Saccharomyces cerevisiae S288C: one gene and its partners. The gene in region 1 interacts genetically with each later gene. Each region holds a gene or a part of one and is shown in the gene's direction. Other genes may lie near its edges.

Region 1 (7,047 bases):
GATGTTTTGTAGGAAATCACTTAGAACTTGCCTTACTTTAAAAGCATGTTGAGTGAATTTCACAGATCGATATGCTTTGGTGTTCAATCAGTTCAACCATACCTGCTATTATATAATCTTCGACTCGCATAATATAGGTATTCCATGCGCAAATAGATTACTTGCAAAATGGACATGACTAAAAACCACACCACTGACACAGAGGAGTTTGATGATGGTGATATACGTCCAGTCAGTTTGGGAATTGTGGACGATTATAACGCTTCGTTCGAATTACCTTTGAAACCAAAGTTTTTACAGAGTGAGAATTTCTCAGATTTAACAAGTGAATGGGACCAGTCTAGATCAAATACGCCTGGTCTTGCAGAAGGCAAGACTGAGAAAGCACAGCCATGCGGTACAACAGATAGTTCAAAAAATAGAATACATGTAGAGCAACTGTTGGAATCCGCTAATGAAATGAATAATTATTTGGCGCAGAATATAGAGAACATAAACAATTTTCAGGTGGGGCTATTGAATGGAGGGAAAGGATTATATAGTTCCATGGGTGATGATTCGAGCGCGTGTATTAATGGCACTAATTTTAGCTCAACGTCCAATTTTGAACTAAGTGATGATGAGCTAGAGGATACCACGGGTTGCACAAGTTCTATTTTTGATAAAGATCTTTTCCATCAACAAAACGGGCTAAGCATACCTCGCCGTAGATCACCACTCTTCAAATCTCCAACTGCCAGTTTCGAAATTGGCGATGCTACGGATGTGGAGGAGCAAGATATTGATGACTCCATTTTTTCTGAATGTAGCAGCATTACAAGCTTTGATATGGGAGGGTTGCATATCAGTCTACCACACGATGAAGAAGAAGATCAAGAAAAAACTAAGTCCGAAAGTGAAAACCCGTTGCTACATGGCATACCGGTTGATGTAGAAGTGCCCCACATATCGGTTGATGAAGCTCTGGCGAATTTCAAGGAAACCATAGAACTACTACTAAAACTTAGTGGCAATAGAAAGTGTACCGGTTTCAATACTAGAGTGGAGAAAAAAGAATACTCGAATTTCTACATGAAAAGTAAACCCACCTTATCATCAGCAGATTTTCTCAAGAGAATCCAAGACAAATGTGAGTACCAGCCAACTGTTTACCTTGTGGCAACATTTTTAATTGACACGTTGTTTTTAACAAGGGATGGCAATAACATTTTGCAGTTGAAGTTAAACTTACAGGAAAAGGAGGTCCATCGAATGATAATAGCAGCGGTTAGATTGAGCACGAAATTATTGGAAGATTTCGTTCACTCACATGAATATTTTAGTAAAGTATGCGGTATTTCGAAACGGCTTTTGACTAAATTAGAAGTCAGTCTATTGATCTGTGTGTGCAATACTAAATTAATGGTCAGTAACAGGAAATTAGCCGCCTCCAAATTACTTTTGAATGAACTACGGTCCTTCTGTGTATAGTTGATACAAGTATTTTAGATAATTATTTTAACGAACGTAACGAATGCTTTCCAGTCAATAGCGGCACTGGTAATATGATACAAACAATTTCTCAATAAAACAACGACAAACTTAGTCTGTTTATATTTCCGTGCAATGGTGGAAACCTGTACTCGATATTGGAGAAAACTTCAGAGCTTCCCAACAGTTATCCCGGATTCTTAATTGATGCTCTCGAAACGCACATAAAAATGTGATTTTTTTACTCGCATTAAATTACTGTTGAATCTATGGTTCAAACAAATGTATATTTGCCTACACATCTTTCTCTGTCCCTTCTGTATTGTCTAACCTTAAAATAGAAATATTTCATGGTTTTATTTCTTTTAAGTTTATTATCCATTTTTAACGTGGTGAGAAAACCCGAAATGAAAAATAATAAAGGAAAATTATAGAGGAAAAAAAGTGTAGAAATAGAAAAAAAATAAAAAGGATAATACCGATCAGAAAAATCCTCTTTCTTGCTCTTCTTCTTTTCTTTGTATTTCTCCTGAAAAAATTCAGAAAAACATATATTGGGTTAAATACATAACTATTTAAAAGGCTGTAAACAATTCAACTGACATTAGATACATCACACTCAATTACTGTTGGAAATAGGCAGATATATCCAGATTTTTACAATTACTATAGCACTTCCATTGAAGATATATAAAAAAAGAAAATAACAATAGGAGGAAGTAAAGAAAGCCGTTAATAAACAATGGTGTTATATAAAAGGAAACCTATATTACTTCCTGATCCAAAACCTTTACCATTGGATTTGAATGTACAAGTATGGCATATTGAAGAGACTGGAGAATGGTTTTCTAGTTACGAAGAATTTTTAGAAAGGTTTGATTTCTACACACGCCACCATTTTACATGCGAAATCACTGGTACTTCTTGCCTGACTTTTTTCCAAGCTCTGGATAGTGAGGAGACACAATTCAAATACGTCGAAGACAGATTCCCATTAAAGTTGAGAGAACCAGTTGCAAGATTTTTACATTTTAACGGAATAAGAAGGTTAGATGCATTGGTGGAGAAAGTTTACGCAAGATTTAAAAATGACTTTTTCCCAGGAGAAGTTGTTTATCTACGTAAACAGAAAGACTCTTCTACCACAAGCTCTAATTCCCAACAAAGTACTCCTCAACCTGATGATATGGTCGAAATCAACAGTGTTGGTAATCCTGGCTTACCGCAGTACCAATACCAAAGACGTTATGTTATCAAAGAAAAGGTCCAATTTAACGCAACGATAAATCCAGAGAGCAGGGAAATTGTGATGCCCGCTCATACTAAATACATGCTGATAGAAGAAGCAGCTTCCAGTAATAAATCCTTCATTGTTGATCAAGGACAAATTTACAGGGACCGTTCCACTTTCACTAAGCACTTAATCAAATGTTTTTTCAAGATTACTTTACAGAGGGCATCTTCGAAAATGGGTGCACCTTGGTGTGTCAAACCGGAATATTTAGCGATGTATGGTTTAACGATGGAATGGCCAAAAGATATGTTAAAATATAAAGAAGATGAACCTGTCGTAGCAAGACGTTCCAACAGTGCCAATGTTTCATCCCCAGAAAGTGAAAAGAATAAACGTCAAAGTAAATCATCGGGTAAAAGTAACACCTCAAACGATGCTTCTAACAAAAAAGAAACCAAGAAAAAAAGAAAGCCAACCGAAGTAAATGATTCTGAGAATAATTCTTCGGAAGAAGACAAGAAGAAGGGTCAAAATGTCACATCAGAAACACATTCTAAAAAAAGGAAAAAGGAAGCCAATGAGGAACCGAACACGGAAAACGTCGAAAGCGTTCCTACACCAGCTAATGCGGAGCCTCAGGCTGTAACAATAACGAGCATAATGGATGACCTAGCTTTGCCATATCAACATCCACCGAACATCTTTCCAAACTTAACGTATTATAATGAAAAATTAGAATGTATTTCATTAGGTTCTACAAAACTTTCCAGACCTTTTGATTCTTTTGGAAAGCTATTACAAGCCTATCAGTTTCTGAATACGTTTGGTTCGAAAATTTGTCTCTCTCATTTTAGCCTTGACCAATTCATTACTTCTTTGAAATGTACAGACCCATATGAGTTAAAGGGCGAAGTTGTTTTAGTGAACATAAGAACGCAAACGTCTAAAGAACAAGAAATTGAAAATAACGGCCTGCCGATGAAAAACAAAGCAGAGACTACTACTGAGGAAGACTCTGAAAACCCAAGTGACTGGCAAAGAAATTCATTTATTCGTGATATGATAATGAAAAGAAATTCCGACAAGGTTGAGTACAAGATTGTTCACGATGACCCAGCATCCGATGATATACTTGATAATATCAATCATAATGGGTCTGCTCTTCTCATTGAAGTTTTTACTGCGCTCTTACGTTTGTTCATCAACGAAGAAGGCGATTGGAGTTGCATCGTCGTTGAAAACTGGATAATAGACGACAAGGGAGTCCTTATGGAGAGAAAAGATGAAAGAGGGGAGGGGGAGGCGAAGCAAAAACGAAATGCTCACGGATACTTTTTACAAGATAAGGAAAAGATCGACAACCTAAAGGACACATTAAAGGAAAACGCAACAGAAGTTCAAAAAGAATCAGACGCTAAAAACGAAACAAATTCAGAATCTGATTCTAAATCTGATTCTGACAGTGAAGAACGAGATCCTAAATTAGAAAAGTGTTTGAACTACCGCAATGTTAACTGGATAGAACGCTTGACGAAAAGGCAATTTAATAACAGTTACTGGCTAATAATTTTACTGGGAGTCTTAGAAGATTGTAGACATCTTCCCATGTATACAGAGTTTATTGATTCTTTCATAGAAAAGATCATACCCAAAGATATATCAGCTACTCAATTGCCCAAACAGCTTTGGAGAAATTTCTGTCGAAAGCTGTCGTTCAGTGACAAAGTCAATGCGCTGTGGATACTTGTAGATCTCGTATCGCATTTTTCTCCAGATATCAAAGCTGCTGTAGATGATTCCATGGAACTATGTGGTCAAATTCGTAGCGAAAGATTCAAAGTTGCGAGAGAGTTGAAAACGGAGGCAGCCGTCTTAAGTAATCTTCAAGGCGACCTGCAGGCAATTCAAGAGAAGTTAAATAAAACAGATGAAAACACACCATCAGCCGATGGTGCCGATAAAAAAGATGATTCCGAATCAAATAGTGAACCAATTGATCTTATTATCATTGAGAAAAAGCAAAAGTTAATTGAAGAGCAGGATAAAAAGGTACAAGCTTTACAATCAGATAAAAATTTCCTCGATAATTGTCTATTTGAAAACGATCTACAAAGATTAAAGCCGTTGGGATTGGATCGATACGGGAACAGGTATTTTTGGCTGGATCACAATGGTGTTCCATTTCCTCAATATCCTGCTGGTATGAATGAGACGCCGAAAAGTAACAATAGTTTGAGTTATCACTCCGGTCGTTTATTAATTCAGGGACCTAAAGCATCATCGGCGAAATTCTTTTTGAACGTCAGTGATGAGCAATTGAGCAATTGGCAAAAAATCAGAAATTCCGAAGGAATATCCGAGGCAACTAGGGAAGTATTTGGTATCTCCAAAACTAGTTCCGGATCTTATAATTACGTAGAAAATGGAATAGAGGTCGAACTATTGGACAGTAATGATCGCGTAAACCCACTTATAGAGCTGACACCTATTCAAAAGAAAATTATGGATGAAACACCTTCAAGGTTGCTACTATCACCAGATCAATGGTATTGCATTGACAAGTTAGAGGACTTGTCAAGAATAATGGACTGGTTAGATAATTGGGGTCGCAAAGAGCATGATCTCTTGAGGCAAATCAGACCCATAATGGAACGAATTAAAAGTTCCCTTAGCTTGCGCGACCATGCGCTGTCACTGACAGCATTCACCAAAAATGAAGAAAAGTTGCTAAAGGAGTTAGAAAATAATGAATTTACCGAAAACGAATTGAACGTTGATAGTATGGATGTTGATGATAAAAATAGCGGTGTTAAAAGTGAGGTTGATGTACAGGTTGATGCCGAAGAGAAGAGAGAAGCTGTGATAGACGAAAAGTTGGAGGTGATTGCAGACGAACTCATGAAGCTAGATGATAGCTCGAAAACACGCAATGTTCTTAATAGAATACAAGAATTAGAAGATCAGAGAGATGAACTCTTGGAACAGAAAAAATCCATAATAAATTCGCAGAGGCCAGGCGCGAGGATTTTAGCCCGTTCAGAAAGGAAAAGAACCAAAATCTCCCGTGGTAATAAGGTGAATAAGCAGATTGAAATATTGACTGACTTAGTCAATTATAGACATTTTAAAGCTATGGAAGATGTGATAGCTTGGAAAAACGTTTTAGCAAATTCGATATGGGGTTCCTCACTTCGCAAAAATGCATCTGGTAATAAAAGGAGTGGTGTCATTGAAACAGTAGACGATAAATTAAAAGATATAGTGGGCCAAACCTCAAGAACAGTAACACCTGCCCCAAATTAATATATAAAAAACTTCCTTTGTAACTGATGGTAAATTGTAGTATTCATAAATAGGATAAGATTATTCATTGTAAGCATAATGGAAAAAAATAACACAACAAAGCCGCGCAAGATTGGACCATACTTTCTATCTAAGGTAACTATCACTTACTGGCTTGATGGATGCGTATTTTTGTCGGTACCAGCTTCTGAAATATCGATATCAAACATAGCTGGCTCAATTCCTTCCATCAATTGCTGGGTAATTTCGACTGGTAAACCGTTATCGTTAGAGATATTAGCAGATGCGCTATCAAAATCGAGTTCTTGGGCACCTGATCTCAAATTGCAAGAATGGCAAATAATATCTTCATACCAGTATAAACTTTTGTTTGTACCACAATGTGGGCAAGTCCTTTCGAAAGGAAGTACGTAAATTTTGGGTTTAATAGCAGAGTCGTGTGAGTTTCCTGGCATTTCGCCGTGTCGCAGTCTAAGCTGTTCAAAATATCTCAACTCCACTAGACTATGGTCAGATTCGCACTTATAATATCTGCAGTATTGTTCTATGTATGACAGAGTATGTTGAGGCTTGTACGATAATGGATAAAGTTCGTTTCCTTCTAAGCTGATATCGTGTCTATCGCATATTAGTATAGGTCTCAAAGTGTATGTATCGTTAAGCTTGACATCCTTTATGCACGGTAGAGTGGTGTCTACAGACATATTTTTCTTTTCAAACATAAGCTTAAAATTGGAGCTGTTCTGTGCACATGTAATATGATACCTATATTGGCATTTGTTACACTTCACTAACCCACCTCCATTTATCCTGCACACACCACATGTAAATCTACTATGTTTAATAAGCACAGCAGTGGTATTAAGGGCAGGTTGCATTGATTGTCCGTTTCCATATTTGATATCTTCATTGAAAAGTGAGCAAACCAAATGCACCCATGTCCCTAAGCTCGTGCATTTCAATGCGTCTGGACATATTTTAAATGATTGGCTCCTATATCTATCATAGTCATAGTCCTTCGTAGGACACATACTACATTG
Region 2 (5,248 bases), on another chromosome or scaffold:
CGTTGAACAAACTGATCTCTAATAATAATTCTCAGAAACCCTATGGATTGAAAGAACTGACGTTACTGTCCTCAGGACCGAATTTACGCGGACATTTAACCTTGGAAGTTCCTTTACAAAAATGGGGCAATATTTTAGGTGTTAACGAGTTTGAAATTGTGACACATCATTTACGTAATGTGTTAACCAATGAAGTATCGAATTTGAGAAGACTGGATATTGAATACGTGGAAGAAAAAAATGGTGAGGAAAATGAGCATATCAAGGGACAACAAAACTACAAAGAAGATGTTCTTATTAAGCACGACCATACGAATACTCATATTTGAGCTTCCCACAGTAATAATAACAAGTGAAGAAGAGAGGGAAATGTCGAAAATACCCGAAACGCATTTCACAATTACAAAAAGGCCAAAAAAAAAAAGGAAAGACAATACGCTTATATTTGTCACGTATACCTACTATTTGATTTATGTACGTTTTATATACAAATTGCATTTACTATTTATAAAATAAATCATTAACTATAATACTCTAACTGAATGTTTTAGGATCTTCTCTATTAAAAATATACGTGGAAAACGACTATGGCTGCCCGAGAGACTAAAAAGGAAAGAGCGAGGGATATAACAATAGCAGTCATTACTGGTGATAATAATGACATAAAAGAATTACTGAAGGAGGCAAAGTATATACTGTCAAGGGTATAATGGTGAAAGTAACTGCAGCTTGTATCATAATTGGTGATGAAGTGCTGAATGGAAAAGTAGTTGATACAAATTCCACTTTTTTTGCGAAGTATTGCTTTGATCATGGAATTCAATTAAAAGAAATTGCAACTATAGGGGATGATGAAACCCAGATCGTAGATACTGTGAGAAGATTAGTCAAAAATTATGATTTTATCATCAGTACAGGTGGAATCGGCCCCACTCATGACGACATCACTTACGAATGTATGGCGAAAAGCTTTAATTTGCCTTGTGAACTAGATGAAGAATGCAAAGAACGAATGAGGCATAAATCTGACCCTGAAGCAAGGCTTGATGCAGATGCTCTAAAGGCGCATTACCAAATGGCAACCATGCCAAAAGGCACAAACGTCAAAAATTATTATGTGTGTGATGACTTGTGGGTACCTATTTGTTCTATATCTCACAAAATGTATATACTACCCGGTATCCCTCAACTATTTGCAAGGATGCTGAAAGCGTTCACTCCCACGTTGAAAAAAATATATAATTTGGACAAGGATCCACGTGAGTATGTTCGTTATTTTGTCAGAACACACCTAACTGAGTCTCAAATTTCTAAAGAGCTAAAGTTGATTCAGGATGAATCAACAAAAGTTTCAGAAGCCATTAAAATAGGCTCATACCCACATTTTGGTATGGGATTCAATACAGTTAGTATTTTGGGTGAAAAGAAAGACGATTCATATCTGAAGAGTATTGTCAATAGAGTTGTTAATAACCTCGAGGGAGAAGTAATTTCTTCTGAACTTGAAAACAAGTTCTCGAACCAGGAGAGCTGAATACCCGAGTATTTAGAACTATGTATAGATATAGATTTTTTTTTTGGGAGCAAAGTCATCTCAGTCATCGCCGGTAGTTGCGCTTTCTTCTCAACAAAAAAGTACACTGCTCGTGGTAGAAAGGTACCTTGAAAAATTAAAGATCACATTGCTACTGTTAGAGCTTCAATCGCTAAAGTAAACATTTGAAAAATGCATATCCGAAAGGACCAAACCAGCAAAAGGTATATAATTCATTCAATAGATACAACTGCTCCATGAAAGGAAAAACCTTCATTTACGGTCGCGTTTTTTTTCGTGATATAAAAAAGGTAAAAAAAACGCGTCGCGTTAGAAAAAAGGTGTGTGTGAAGAGAAAGACCCATTGAATGGAGAGTTCGGTTCTTGGGAATTGCACTGAGCCGTGGTGAGTTTGTTGCTTTACTACATCTCTTCTTTTATAAGCAACGCTTAAGCTGAACCTAGTCAACACACATAACTGAAGTCAATTTGACCAGGTGCAACTGAAACCTGGATTGGAATTGGTATTCACTTGAACAAAAGACTCTGGTAAAATGTCTGAACTCTCTCAAATGACATTGAAGATCCTTTACACATTGGATAATGGATCCAATGGTAGTTATTTAGCCCGCTCAAGGGCTCCAAAACAGGTAAGAGTTGCTAATATTCCTAGTCCATTCCCGACAGATTCGAATGAGCAAACGGAGTTGCGAATTGGCGCCATCCATTTGAAGACTATACTGCATGAAATATACTTAAATTCACCTGAAGTGTTAGACCATGACACTTTAAAAGATGGATATGATTATAACTTGTATTATCGTGACATATGTGAAGTGGATGAGCCATTAGTAAGCCTTGGTCTTCTTTCCGGGCTTCGAAAAAAGTTTCATAAGAATAGCCCCTACCAGTATACAGAAAACAATATTGGTGAAGAAGAAAGTGAAGAGAGAGATGAGGTAACTGAAGAAGAGTATGAAGATGAATCTTTTATAGTTACTGGAAGGGTATGCTCGAATGTTTCCGCTTTACTACGAAGATCATATAGCAACATCTCGAATAAAAAGGGAAGGGTCGTAAACAACCAAATTCCGGAAGAAACTTTGGAGGTTAAACTAAGATTCACAAAAGTTATAACCAATTTAAGGACGTCTGGTAACAATACTACAAATTCTCGGATATCGTGTCTTCAAATGCCGTCTTCTTTACCATCAGCAACACTTCCGTTTACCCCAAAATCGCAATCTCTTTTCAAGACAAACCAAATAAAAAATTCAAGGAATGCAAGGACCACGATAACAATAAATAATACTAATAGCGGGACTGTGGGAAGAAGACAGACGAATCCTATGCCTGCTCCAAAAGCTGTCAGAACTCAGTCTTTACCCATCTGGAATCTTAAACCAAATATAGCGAATACTGGTTTCCCAAGAAATTCAATTGCGCACAAAATCTACTTAGCAGATAGAAAAACAGAAGCCAATCAACAAAACAACCAGCATCAAAACATAGCTTACGAAATAAATACTTTGCAAAACGATAATACTATTCAGAGGACCAAGATCGATGATTCGGTAAGCAAGAGGTTCGATTTTATGCTCAACAAAAGAAAGTCTACGAAAAAAGTGTCACCTGGTATAGCAACGATAGCAAAAAAACCAGCTTCAATAAACATAAATCCAAAGCAACCGCCGAAGACTAGTGGTGAAAAAAAAGCAAATGATAAGCAAACGATTGTCAAAGTTAAGAATTCGAATTCCAAAAATTCGGCTAAGTCTACACAAGCAGGATGTAGGCGATCATCAGTGATAGAACATTTAAATGATCATGACGATTCAATTTTAAGTGACATTCTATCGGAACCAGGCATTGAAGGGCAGAAATTGCAGCAAAAACAAAAGGGGCGTAAGATATCTTTAACTAGTGAAAATGATAAAGAAAATATTCCACCCCAAAGCATAACTAGTAAAGAGAACAAGCTTGAAGGTGACTTGGATTTTAACGCTGAGTTCCCCATGAGTGACTTTTCGGATGTAGTATTTAAAGATGAGATGGGATGGTTTTCCAATTTCAATTGCAATTTTTTTGAATCACCAACTTCTGCAAGTGCATCACAACTCAATCAGCAAAATTTGAAGCCTTCTATAACACTCAACGATCCAAACACCTGTAACACCATTGCTCTCGAAAATGAAGATGTCAGTGAATTGGAAACAGCGCAAAATAATAAAATATCTTTGCCTAGCGATGTTGACAAAACCTCCCCAATAGACTCGTTGTCTATACCTTTAATTGAACTTACACATTCAAGCTCGACAACAAACATGCAGCGTATATCCATTAAAGAAGGATCGACACTAAATATAACAGATAGTAATAATGCCACCCCATGTGATAATGATATAAAAGATAGAAAGGCATCTGTAATAGATTCGGACAATACAAAACCTCAGGCAGGGCTTATAAATTTCTCTACTCCAGCTGACCAGCCAGCTTCTGATAATAATGTTACAGCTTCGAAAAAGCTTACTAGCATGCTGGAAACTCAGCAAAGTAAGAGATCTCATGAAGAAGTTTTGGATGAAGAGGAAGAGGAGGAAGCCCTCAAAAAGCAAAAGGCAATACCGTCTTCACCATGTGGGATGTTCAATTATCATCAACCCATGGAATTATCTGAGGACATAGTTGAAGAAGAGCAAGGACACAATATCGGCGATGATAATGAAAGCGATAAGACCAACGATTTATTCTCAACATTCATCCATTCAGGAATAAGAGTAAGTCAGGTAGTAACAAGTCCCATCGGTGAATTTCAGTCAATAAAACACTGAAAATATTACATGAACTTATTCCTAGCACAGCATGTATATATATATATATATATATATACTCAGATCATACATGTAGCACCTTATAGAGAACAAAAAGAAGTATTTAATTAGCATTTTCATGTCGTTAACATGTTATCGCGTTCTGCAGCCTTACGTATAAGGTCGCTGGCATTCAAAAACGAGCACATATACTCATTAAACTTCTCCCTATCATTAGCGGAAATTGTCTCCTTGAATATAGGATCCATTTCTACCTCCACTTCATGGGACGTGTATTGATGGGAGTTCCTTCGCGTGGTAGTAACCTTTGTCAAATCCAAGTGTAAAGGCATTTTATCATTAAAGGTGTAGGTGGAACGGCTTTTGGTTCTTTGTAAAATAAAGCCATTCCTGAAAGCGGCAGAAGTTTCGTATTCAGGCACTTCAAGGCTGATGCTAATTTTAGCGTCTAATGAACTTTGAGGATAGCGAATGAGAAAATCCTTGACCCGGACCTTTTTGATGTAAGTAAGTTTAAGTTCTTTGTTTCTAAGGTCTTCCGAACAACGCCATGAAGTTAATTTGCCAACTTTCGAGGCATTGTTGCAGTTATATATAGAATCTTTCGTATACTTTTGTACCTGTTTTACTACTCTTGGGGCACATTTACTTGGATTCTCCGATTTTGAGCGGAGTAGCTCCTGGAAACTCGAGAACATTTGCTCAGGAACGTTAGACACTAAGCGGCCATTTCTGTTTTGAACAATAAAGGGCTTGTTGTGTGGTGTCATCCTGCGATGTGTCCTTTTGTCTGTTATAACACCAAATTTCATTTCGATTTCAATGTGTGATATCGACGATTTATCAATACAAGCAAGATATTTCCATGCTAACTTACAAACAT
Region 3 (4,718 bases), on another chromosome or scaffold:
TTTTCCAAAACAGCTCTATATATGCTTTCCAGGGCGATGTTGATAACAAATGTATAAGAGCGAGCCATAATAATTCTTAACTGCTTGTTGTTATCATTAGACCATTTAGCAAATATATCTGAATGTATTTTGAAAGCAGTAAGTAAGTTCATAGCTTTATCCAACGGGATATTCAAGGTTGACAAATCCCAATCTGTGACTTCTTGATCTTTGATGTTGGATGATAGATAATAGCCCTTCTCAAAAAGAGTTAACTTATGATACAAAAACGCACAAAAGCCAGTAGAGGCCCTAGGAAAAAGGAAATTTGTGTATACTAAAGACAAGGCCATAAATGGCGGTAAATGAACGCAATTATGATCAAAAAACTCAGGAAAATGCTTCTCATCTAGGTTAAAACACAGTATGGTCGTATTGATGACAAGGGAAAAAGAGACCAAAATGGTTTGCAGGATGTTGTTCTCTAAAACAACGCTTTTTTCCTTGTAAATCAAATACCTCAAGGAATAAAACGTCAACAACAAATTCAAAACCTGCGCAAGCACTTTAATCTCGCACAAAGGAACTTTAGATATTAACTCACTGTCAGTGTAATATGATATTGGGTGGAATTCAGTCTCTACAAAGTTTCTTAGTTTTTTACAATTTTCGGCTAAGTCTGGAAATGCGCTTCTATCATAAATTTGATCTAGCATTGGTCGAGCTAATCTTAAAAACCTTTTAAGCTTGCCCATGCAGGAATTTGACTGATCGAAAAAAACCGTCGATGAATAATTGTTTGTATTTTTAGGCAACCTCTCACCATTCTCGCATTCATCGACTTGAAAATAGGATGAGTTAATCGCCAAACATCTCCCAATATTTAAAGAAACATTGAAATCTGATAATATAATCCAAACCCACAAATTTTCCAAACTTTCCATACTCCCCACAATATTTTCTTGATTTTTGTATATTTCTCTTATATTCAAGTGTAAACCCAGCATAATTGCCGTGCTGCATAATAAGTCAACTAGACTAATCATATGCGAATCGTCTCCACACGCCCAAATTAGTTCTCGATGATAGTATTTCAATAAGAGAAATTGAGCGCGTTCAATGAAATATACTTTAGCTGTTGACAGTCCCGTCAGCATGATGAGAAATTTCTCTATCTCTTCCGGAGTATTTTTGTAGAAATGGCGAATACACAGTATCATCAAAATAACTCCAATCTTATAATAGTTTTTCTTTGTCGATGGTAATAACTTTTCAATCCGCCTTTCACCGTTGGGTAACAGTTCGTCACTTGGAAGAAACGAGGAAGTGAAATCGTTTATTATTTTGGTTTTATCTAATACTTCACTAACTTCATTAGTTTCCAGTTCAGTATTGAAAAAGTCTGTTATAATCTTTGACGATTGTTCAAAAGATGGCAAAACGTTACAAACCTGTTGCAAGATGTCAGAGCCTGTCTTTTCTAACGGCGGTCCCTCTAGGAGTTGAGTTTCTGGCTTCATTGTCCATTTATGCCTAGCCTTCCATCTGTTTCTCTCGATTTTCACTTTGGACCAGAGCTGATTATACGTGTTTACAAACCGATTATCATCGTTTGAGAGATGCGTTCTCAAAGATGTAGGACCATATACTATTCTTCTTCCCGAGCCTTTACATTGTAAATAGTAAAAATTAGCGTAAGGGTTCCTAAATGGGCTCGTACTAAGCGCTACATCCTTCTCCGTCAACTCTTTGTCATCTAGTCTTTTCTCTAAATCCTCAATCCTTTTCAACAGTTCAATGTTCGGAGTACTGCCAAATAACTCTTTTGTTTCTATTTTGTGGGTGAATTTCTCTGTATACAGGCAACCAGAACGACCCCTCGTCTTACAAGTTGAGCACATTGGCTTCTGCTGGTCGCAACGTAATTTCCTTTTCCTACAAAAAGCGCATGACTTTATTGGTTTCCGTCTCTTCTGCGCCTTCTTTACAGTTTCCTCCGATGGGGAAGCTCTATCCTGTAAACTACCCCGCTTACTCATTAACAACTCCCTTTACCAGGACCATTCAATGTGCTTTCCCCTCTGACTTTCTATACTCTTGCCGTTATTATTACAATACCACCTGGCATTTGTCATTTTATCGCCTTGTAAACCATGGGTGTCACCCTACTGCCGAGCCTGAAAAAAACGTGCTGCAAGGGTCTTGAAGCAAAAAGATGATTTAACGGAAGAAAGGCATACAAGAAGGTGAAAATTCGTGTTTAACCCATCTGATACTTTCCCTTGTCTAACGTACTGATCCTGGAGGTTATCAAGAACACAAAAGTCTAGCAGCGAAAAGTACGCGAAGAATCTACTATAGATAATGGTGGTGCAGAAAAAACTTAGGGCTATCTTGACCGATGAAGGTGTATTGATCAAATCGCAATCACACCATATGTTCAATAAGCATGGTCAACTCAGAAGCGGAGATTCTTTATCCTTGTTGAGCTGCTTGTCCTGTCTGGATGATGGAACTTTGAGCTCTGATGGAGGTTCTTTTGATGAGGATGATTCCCTGGAACTGTTGCCTCTTAATACTACCATTCCGTTCAACAGAATTTTGAACGCAAAATATGTGAATGTCGGTCAGAAAGGCTTCAATAATGGCAAAATTTCTTCGAATCCTTTTCAAACGGAAAATCTGAGTTCTTCGTCTGAAAATGACGACGTTGAGAATCATAGTTTGAGCAATGATAAGGCTCCTGTAAGCGAATCACAGTCATTTCCCAAAAAAGACAAGTGGGATACAAAAACGAACACTGTGAAGGTGTCTCCCGATGATTCACAGGATAACTCACCATCTTTAGGGATAAAAGATAATCAACAGTTAATTGAGTTAACTTTTGCTGTACCCAAGGGCCATGATGTTATACCACAAAAATTAACCTTGTTAATAGATCACGTTTCTAGGAAATCGAGAGCAAATACCGGAGAGGAGAACATTTCTTCTGGTACTGTGGAAGAAATCCTGGAAAAAAGTTATGAAAATTCCAAGAGAAACAGATCGATATTAGTCATTATTAATCCCCACGGTGGTAAAGGTACTGCTAAAAATTTATTCCTGACAAAAGCAAGGCCAATACTAGTGGAAAGTGGCTGCAAAATAGAAATTGCATACACAAAATATGCCCGTCACGCCATCGATATTGCCAAAGATTTAGATATCAGCAAATACGATACCATTGCATGTGCCTCGGGTGATGGTATTCCATACGAAGTAATTAATGGGCTTTATAGAAGACCCGACAGAGTGGATGCGTTCAATAAACTAGCCGTAACTCAGCTACCTTGCGGTTCAGGAAATGCTATGAGCATTTCATGTCATTGGACAAATAACCCATCGTACGCCGCTCTGTGCCTTGTCAAATCCATTGAAACAAGAATAGACTTAATGTGTTGTTCCCAACCTTCTTATATGAACGAATGGCCAAGATTATCCTTTTTGAGTCAGACGTACGGCGTTATTGCAGAATCTGATATTAACACTGAATTCATCAGATGGATGGGTCCCGTTAGGTTTAATTTGGGTGTAGCATTCAACATTATCCAAGGTAAGAAATATCCCTGCGAAGTTTTCGTCAAATATGCTGCCAAATCTAAAAAGGAATTAAAAGTTCATTTCTTAGAAAATAAAGATAAAAACAAAGGATGTTTAACCTTCGAACCAAATCCTAGCCCAAACTCTTCGCCGGATTTACTATCTAAAAACAATATCAACAACAGTACAAAAGATGAACTTTCACCGAATTTTCTCAACGAGGACAACTTTAAATTAAAGTATCCGATGACGGAACCAGTACCTAGAGACTGGGAGAAAATGGATTCAGAGCTAACTGATAACTTAACAATCTTTTACACAGGGAAAATGCCGTATATTGCTAAGGACACCAAATTTTTTCCCGCTGCTTTACCAGCGGATGGTACCATTGATTTAGTCATAACGGATGCAAGAATCCCAGTGACAAGAATGACACCAATTTTATTATCCTTGGATAAAGGTTCTCATGTATTAGAGCCAGAAGTTATTCACTCAAAAATATTGGCTTATAAGATTATACCAAAAGTGGAGTCAGGTTTATTTTCAGTGGATGGTGAAAAGTTTCCTTTGGAACCCTTGCAAGTGGAAATAATGCCCATGTTATGCAAGACGTTGCTAAGGAATGGTAGATATATCGATACAGAGTTTGAATCCATGTAGATTAACGTTATATTTTCCTTCAAAAATGATTTTTTTGTAAAAAGAAATACTACATCGAAAAGAAAAGGCGATATAATGTTTCTATCATCGGAGTATGGTTTATATTCCATTTTTGTTTTCATTATAATTATACATCCCCAGTTATATATCATTAATACGTAACAATATTATGAGTTGGTCTTTATTATCTAATATAATTAAAAAATTTACACTATTACATCATTTTCAACCAATAGGATATATATATAAATATATACATATATGCACATTAAATCATTCACTTGGAAGTTGCGTCCTTCAAGCTAACTATTCTATTCAAAATAACCTTAGAAGTCGTACTCTCTTTATCCAGAGTGAAATAACCTACTCTCATAGCTTGGAATCTACACACTTCTTTGGAATCCTTATCTTCTTCAACATAAAATTCCGAGTTTTTAACAGAATCAACGACCCATGGACTGTTCTTGACAACGTCCCCGAAGTTATGTTCCATGACAGAT
Region 4 (7,050 bases), on another chromosome or scaffold:
AACGTCGCTTTTTTGTTTGGACTTTCTGCAGGAATCTCCCCGACGTTGTTACCATTTTCGTTTGAAGGTGATGATGCTCCACTACTCTCTGGGCTATCGGAGGACACAAACTCGCTTGAAGTTGGAGAGTTCTTATTTTTTTTCCTAATTTTCTGGACTTTGTGTATGCTTCGCCAATCCAGATACAAAAGTGCAGCAGTTCGTAATGGAACAATACCATCATCCATGACATTGGCATATATCGTTCTCCTCTTAAAAGACTCAAATACTTTTTTAGCCGGCGCCTGTGGAAGAATTTCTAATATGTACTTGGAATGTTCTGGGTACACTTCATCGTCTGCATACAACCCATCTTTGGACGTTAACGGTGTATATTTTAAATTCAAGTCCCTTCCTGTCAAACCAAGCGCGCCCATATCCAGTGGAACAGACAAATAAAAGGGGAAGTCGCCAATAACACCGATGAAAGGACTAGCTAACGTAATAAAATTAACGGGTTTAACACCTTTAACTGCATCAAAAAAATCTGGTCTTTTAATACTTATGTAACGCACCGCCATGGATTGAGTTGGCCCTCCTAGGGAATGGCCAATGAATGATATCCTGTCTACTTTGTACTTTTTATTCAACTTATCAACAGTCTCAAGCACATACTTTCCAACTCTAACGCCCAAGCAATGTATACCGTGACCTGATTTCCCGACGTTGCCCATAAAACCTCGAACAATTATATTCGGATTAATAGACTCATCCATAGGAAACGTCATTTCTTCAATTTTATCTTTCATATATAGCATATCACACCCGATATTAGAAAATATACCATGTGTCATAATAACGAGATGTACAGGCTTTTCTGGAAATTTTGGTGGTAAATCCCAAAGGGTTTCAGTATCCCACATCTCTAAAGAGACACCTTCAATACTCTTAAAGAGCCCATTCGATTTCTTGACCACCTTCCTTGTAGTCCCTATCCTAAACGAAAATTCCAGCTTCGGAATTGTGGTTACCGCCAACTGCGAAATTATATCTATTGTCCATGAATAAAGAGAAGTGTCGCCAACTCTAGAATTCTCATTCAATAATATTTTTACTTTAAATCTTTCGTCCGGCTTTAGATTTTCAACAAATGGAATAATTTCCTTCCCTGGAAACTTGCGATTCTCATTATAGTTATGCGGCCTAACATCGATGTAAAAAGAATATGGCCCCGTCAAATAAAGCGGTCGCAGAAGCGCGCTTTCCTCGTTCTTGATCCTCAAGAATAGATGCGATACATCTAGCCCTTGTTCCTTAATTACATCTTTGTTCACGGAAAACTTGTAGCGATATAACTCACCTATTCTTAATCTCTTCCGCTCATCAACCAATAAGGTACCTCCGGTTTCATTTATCTCGAGCGAATTTTTCATTCGGTTGATTTTGTAAGGCATTAAGGGATCGAACCAAAATGGAGCAATTCTTTTATAATAAGAAGATGAATAACAGCCGAGTAAGTGATTCTCCTCCGCATTTCCTGCTGTTCATTGTTTTATCATACTGAATAAACAATCCTTAGAAAATAGCATCGATATATTCGCGCTTAACAAAGCGAAGAATTGAAACATTTTTTCAGGTGGAGGGACCGGGTAGTGCCGGATCAAGTAGTGTAGTATTTATTGTAGTACACTCTTACAACAACCCTTTAAGACGAATGGTGTGAAATCGGAAATTACTTTGTTGAAGTAAGGTGTAACTATATTTTAAGAACGTTTAAGCTGGATATCAAGATCTGAGGAGGTAGTATGAGTTCTGACGCTTCCACGTACAGACTTGAGGATGTTTTATCCAGCTTCTATAGAGTGGAGAAAATCAAAAAGATCAACTATCATCAGTACATTTCTAAAGCCCAAAACGATCAATGGTCTATCCAAATGGAATTCATGCTACGGAAGCAGGATCCAAAGACTCTAGTTGCGCTGCTTTCAAGGGATTTATGGTGTTTCAGTATAAATGATGATCCGGTACCGACACCTCCTGCGATAGAACATAAACCAGTGAGCCCAGATAAAATCGGAACTTTCACTGCCGATTATTCAAAGCCAAACTTACCGCCACACTATGCTCTTTTTTTAAAAGCTTTAAGAAGGAAAATTTACATTAATTTGGCATTAGGTTCACACAATAAGCTAATACAATTTGGGAATGCCTGCATATCATTAAGCGGAGTGCCAAATTATCTCGTACAGCTAGAACCACACCTTTTTGTAAACGGAGATCTCACAGTGTCGTTATGTGCCAAGAACATGGGATTAGTACCAATGAAGGAGGAAAATTTGGAAGAATCTTTCCTTTCAAAGCATGCGCTTTATTTAGCACCATCTGGAATAAGGATGCATTTGGCCCCTGCTTCCAAGCAAGGATACTTGATAACGCCACCAAAACATACAGAACTTCTCTTGACGACGTTAAGTGTATCTCATGGTATAAACTTACAAAATAAAAAAAATTTGAAATGGGTTGCTGTTGTTCCTGACTTAGGACATCTCAACGGCCACACACCTACTATAGCTTCGTATTTAACTCCCTTACTTGAAGCAAAGAAGCTAGTATGGCCGCTGCATTTAATCTTCGCCCAACCAGTAGCTGATATAGAAAATTCTACTTCCGGAGATCCATCAGAATTTCACTGTTTGCAAGATGCTCTGGATGCCATTGATGATTTCATACAATTAAAGCAAACAGCTGCCTATAGGACTCCAGGAAGTTCCGGCGTATTGAGCAGTAATATTGCTGGTACAAATCCCTTAAGCTCAGATGGAGCATATACAGAACAGTTTCAACATTATAAGAACAACTCAATTAGTTCTCAACCCGCTTCTTATCATTCTGTCCAAGAAACTAATAAGATATCTCCGAAAGATTTCTCCCCTAATTTCACAGGCATTGATAAATTAATGCTGTCGCCCAGCGATCAATTTGCTCCAGCTTTCTTAAATACCCCTAATAATAACATCAATGAGAATGAATTATTTAATGATAGGAAACAAACTACAGTATCAAATGACTTAGAGAACAGCCCACTGAAAACGGAACTGGAGGCAAATGGTAGATCACTCGAAAAGGTAAATAATTCCGTGAGCAAGACAGGAAGCGTAGACACACTTCATAATAAAGAGGGAACACTGGAACAACGAGAACAGAACGAAAATCTGCCAAGTGATAAAAGTGACTCTATGGTAGACAAGGAATTGTTTGGTGAGGATGAGGATGAGGATTTATTTGGCGATAGCAATAAATCGAATTCTACAAACGAATCGAACAAAAGTATATCGGACGAAATTACCGAGGATATGTTCGAAATGTCTGATGAAGAAGAAAATAATAACAATAAAAGCATTAATAAAAATAACAAGGAAATGCATACTGATCTTGGTAAAGATATTCCATTTTTTCCCTCATCTGAAAAACCGAATATCCGTACGATGAGCGGAACTACAAAAAGATTAAATGGAAAGAGGAAATATTTGGATATTCCGATAGATGAAATGACCTTGCCAACGAGTCCATTATATATGGACCCAGGTGCGCCACTCCCTGTGGAAACACCCCGCGATAGACGCAAAAGTGTGTTCGCTCCACTGAATTTTAACCCCATAATAGAAAACAATGTTGATAACAAATACAAATCTGGAGGGAAATTTTCCTTCAGTCCGTTGCAAAAGGAGGAAGCATTAAACTTTGATATTTCTATGGCGGATCTTTCTAGCTCTGAAGAGGAAGAGGATGAAGAAGAGAACGGTAGCAGCGATGAGGATCTAAAGTCATTGAACGTACGCGACGACATGAAACCTTCTGATAACATCAGTACTAATACTAATATTCATGAGCCTCAATACATAAATTACTCTTCGATCCCAAGTCTACAAGACTCTATTATAAAGCAAGAAAATTTCAATTCAGTAAACGATGCTAATATCACTAGCAATAAGGAAGGCTTCAACTCTATTTGGAAAATTCCTCAAAATGATATACCACAGACCGAGTCACCACTGAAGACCGTTGATTCATCTATTCAACCCATAGAATCCAATATAAAGATGACCTTGGAAGATAATAATGTTACCAGTAATCCGTCCGAATTTACGCCGAATATGGTAAATTCTGAAATTTCTAACCTACCAAAAGACAAGAGTGGTATCCCCGAATTCACACCGGCGGACCCCAATTTATCTTTTGAATCATCAAGTAGTCTACCGTTTCTATTGAGACACATGCCGCTAGCATCTATACCGGACATTTTCATCACGCCTACTCCCGTTGTTACAATTTCAGAAAAAGAACAAGACATCTTAGATTTAATTGCAGAACAAGTCGTCACTGATTATAATATCTTAGGAAACCTCGGTATTCCAAAGATCGCCTATAGGGGAGTTAAAGATTGCCAAGAAGGTTTAATAACAACCACAATGTTACAGTTATTTTCCACTTTCGATAGATTAAATGGCAATGATACGATCTCCAAATTCTATAACATGAAGCAGCCGTACGTTTTTGTAAAGAAACATCACGAACTAATCAAAGTCAAACACGACTCTCAGCCATTTATTAAGTTCCTCAATTTTCGCCCTCCAAATGGAATAAAAAACTTCAAATCCTTATTATTAAGTTCATCTTTCAAAGAAGATTGTCTGTCATTTGCGCCAACTCTATCTCAAACATATATTAATCAAGAGTTAGGGTTTTGTGAGTTGCTTAAACTAACTAATGAAGACCCGCCCGGACTGATGTACTTGAAGGCATTTGATAAAAACAAGTTACTGTTGTTAGCTGCGCAGATTGTTTCATACTGTTCTAATAATAAGAACTCCATCAAAAACGTGCCACCAATATTAATAATTTTACCCTTGGATAATGCAACTCTGACTGAATTAGTAGACAAGGCGAATATTTTTCAGGTGATCAAGAACGAAGTTTGTGCCAAGATGCCTAACATTGAACTATATTTGAAAGTTATTCCTATGGATTTCATTAGAAACGTACTGGTGACAGTGGATCAGTACGTCAACGTAGCAATTTCTATATATAACATGCTGCCGCCAAAATCTGTAAAGTTCACCCACATTGCGCATACGCTGCCGGAGAAAGTGAATTTCAGAACCATGCAGCAACAGCAAATGCAACAGCAACAGCAACAGCAACAGCAGCAGCAGAATAACAGTACAGGATCATCTTCTATAATATATTATGACTCGTACATCCACCTGGCATACTCGCGTAGTGTAGATAAAGAGTGGGTTTTTGCAGCTCTTTCAGATAGCTATGGACAAGGCAGCATGACGAAAACGTGGTACGTCGGGAATTCCAGAGGAAAATTTGACGACGCATGTAATCAAATATGGAATATCGCCCTAAATTTAGCGTCTAAAAAATTCGGAAAAATATGTCTAATTTTAACTAGATTGAATGGCATACTGCCGGATGATGAATTGATGAATTGGAGGAGACTTTCTGGTAGGAATATACATCTTGCTGTGGTGTGTGTGGATGACAACTCTAAAATCTCCTTCATAGATGAGGACAAATTGTACCCTAGTTTCAAGCCGATCTACAAAGACACTAGGTTTGGAGGACGCATGGATATGACCAGATTATACGACTATGAAATAAGGGATATAGACCAGGACATCCATGGAATAGTATTTCAGCACCCGTTCCCACTGGCACACTCACAGCATCGCTGTGCTATTAGGAGTGGTGCTTTGATCAAATTCAAAAAATGCGACGGTGATACGGTTTGGGACAAATTCGCAGTCAACCTTTTAAACTGTCCACATTCTGATAGTACACAATTGCTGGAAACCATCTTAGAAGAGTTTCGCAACCTGGCTGCTCTAAACGTGTGGTACGGTCTCTCTGATGGCGAAGATGGCCATATTCCATGGCATATCCTAGCCGTGAAAAAAATGATGAACACTCTTGTGCACACCAGAGTAAAAATTGCTAATACTTCCGCCGCTACTGTGCATACCGCTACTTCTTCATCAATTATTCTCTCGGATAAATAAACTTTTTCCGGCAACGTTTTCCTGCTCATCTGTAGCCCTATTTACCAGTTTTGGTTTTAGTATTATTCCGGGGTGTAAACCCAGAAGTCTATTTCTCCAGTCGGATTTATAAAAACAAAACCGGAAGCGGGGCGGTACGGCATTTTCACTGGTGATGCACGCCCAGCGTGTAGTCCGAGACAATTTCCACAGAACGCGAATGAGATTGCGTTTAAGGCTGTATTTTCAAGGCACACGAAGCGGCCACGTGGGTCTGCGATGGTGTGTTGATGATGTCAAGAATGGTATCATACTCCGTATAAGGTTATGTAATCGGAAGTCGCGATTCTTTTTCAATTTTTTCTTTTTATTTTTTTCCAGTTTTTTCGTCTCTGCGATGGAAAATTGTTGAAGTTCTCTTGATTAGCAAGTAGTTCTTACATCGCAGGAATCTTATGTTGCATAGCTCAATTTACAAAAATAACAAGGATAAATATATATATATACGCATATACTTTTTGGGTGTTAAAGTAAATTTTGCACCCGTTCATACCAATCGTTCAGATAATTTTCGCTCCTTAAAAAAAGAGAGTGCGTGTGTATATGCCTGTTCATTGCCTGTCCGCCTCTCATTATGTCTATTTCTGAATCTTACGCAAAGGAAATAAAAACTGCATTTAGGCAGTTCACTGACTTTCCCATAGAGGGTGAGCAATTTGAGGATTTTTTACCTATTATTGGCAACCCCACGCTATTCCAAAAGTTGGTACACACGTTCAAGACGCATTTAGAAGAAAAGTTCGGCAAAGAAAAGATCGACTTTATTGCAGGTATAGAAGCTAGAGGCCTTCTATTTGGGCCATCCCTAGCACTGGCATTGGGAGTTGGATTTGTTCCAATAAGGAGAGTTGGAAAATTGCCGGGTGAGTGTGCTTCTATAACATTCACAAAATTAGACCATGAAGAAATTTTTGAAATGCAGGTTGAAGCCATTCCCTTTGATTCCAACGTGGTTGTCGTGGAT

What was found.
Region 2: mutations in ITC1 (region 1) and SPT21 together harm fitness more than expected from each alone (negative genetic interaction), as found in Saccharomyces cerevisiae (2 studies listed by BioGRID).
Region 3: mutations in ITC1 (region 1) and LCB4 together harm fitness more than expected from each alone (negative genetic interaction), as found in Saccharomyces cerevisiae (2 studies listed by BioGRID).
Region 4: mutations in ITC1 (region 1) and SSN2 together harm fitness more than expected from each alone (negative genetic interaction), as found in Saccharomyces cerevisiae (2 studies listed by BioGRID).

What each region holds. Positions count from the first base shown.
Region 1 is NC_001139.9:255,495-262,541, forward strand, and holds ITC1 (Itc1p), read left to right. Parts: upstream 1-2,212; coding exon 2,213-6,007; downstream 6,008-7,047. Other genes in the region: PCL10 (Pcl10p), read left to right, coding at 169-1,470; DNA-binding E3 ubiquitin-protein ligase SNT2, read right to left, coding at 6,154-7,047. UniProt on the Saccharomyces cerevisiae protein: Functions as a component of the ISW2 complex, which acts in remodeling the chromatin by catalyzing an ATP-dependent alteration in the structure of nucleosomal DNA.
Region 2 is NC_001145.3:617,770-623,017, forward strand, and holds SPT21 (Spt21p), read left to right. Parts: upstream 1-2,088; coding exon 2,089-4,365; downstream 4,366-5,248. Other genes in the region: MMT1 (Mmt1p), read left to right, coding at 1-329; FPY1 (flavin adenine dinucleotide pyrophosphatase), read left to right, coding at 710-1,534; CTL1 (polynucleotide 5'-phosphatase), read right to left, coding at 4,482-5,248. UniProt on the Saccharomyces cerevisiae protein: Required for normal transcription at a number of loci in yeast.
Region 3 is NC_001147.6:651,510-656,227, reverse strand, and holds LCB4 (sphinganine kinase LCB4), read left to right. Parts: upstream 1-2,343; coding exon 2,344-4,218; downstream 4,219-4,718. Other genes in the region: YRM1 (Yrm1p), read right to left, coding at 1-2,018; GLN4 (glutamine--tRNA ligase), read right to left, coding at 4,496-4,718.
Region 4 is NC_001136.10:1,344,673-1,351,722, reverse strand, and holds SSN2 (Ssn2p), read left to right. Parts: upstream 1-1,784; coding exon 1,785-6,047; downstream 6,048-7,050. Other genes in the region: YDR444W (putative hydrolase), read right to left, coding at 1-1,433; adenine phosphoribosyltransferase APT2, read left to right, coding at 6,661-7,050. UniProt on the Saccharomyces cerevisiae protein: Component of the SRB8-11 complex. The SRB8-11 complex is a regulatory module of the Mediator complex which is itself involved in regulation of basal and activated RNA polymerase II-dependent transcription.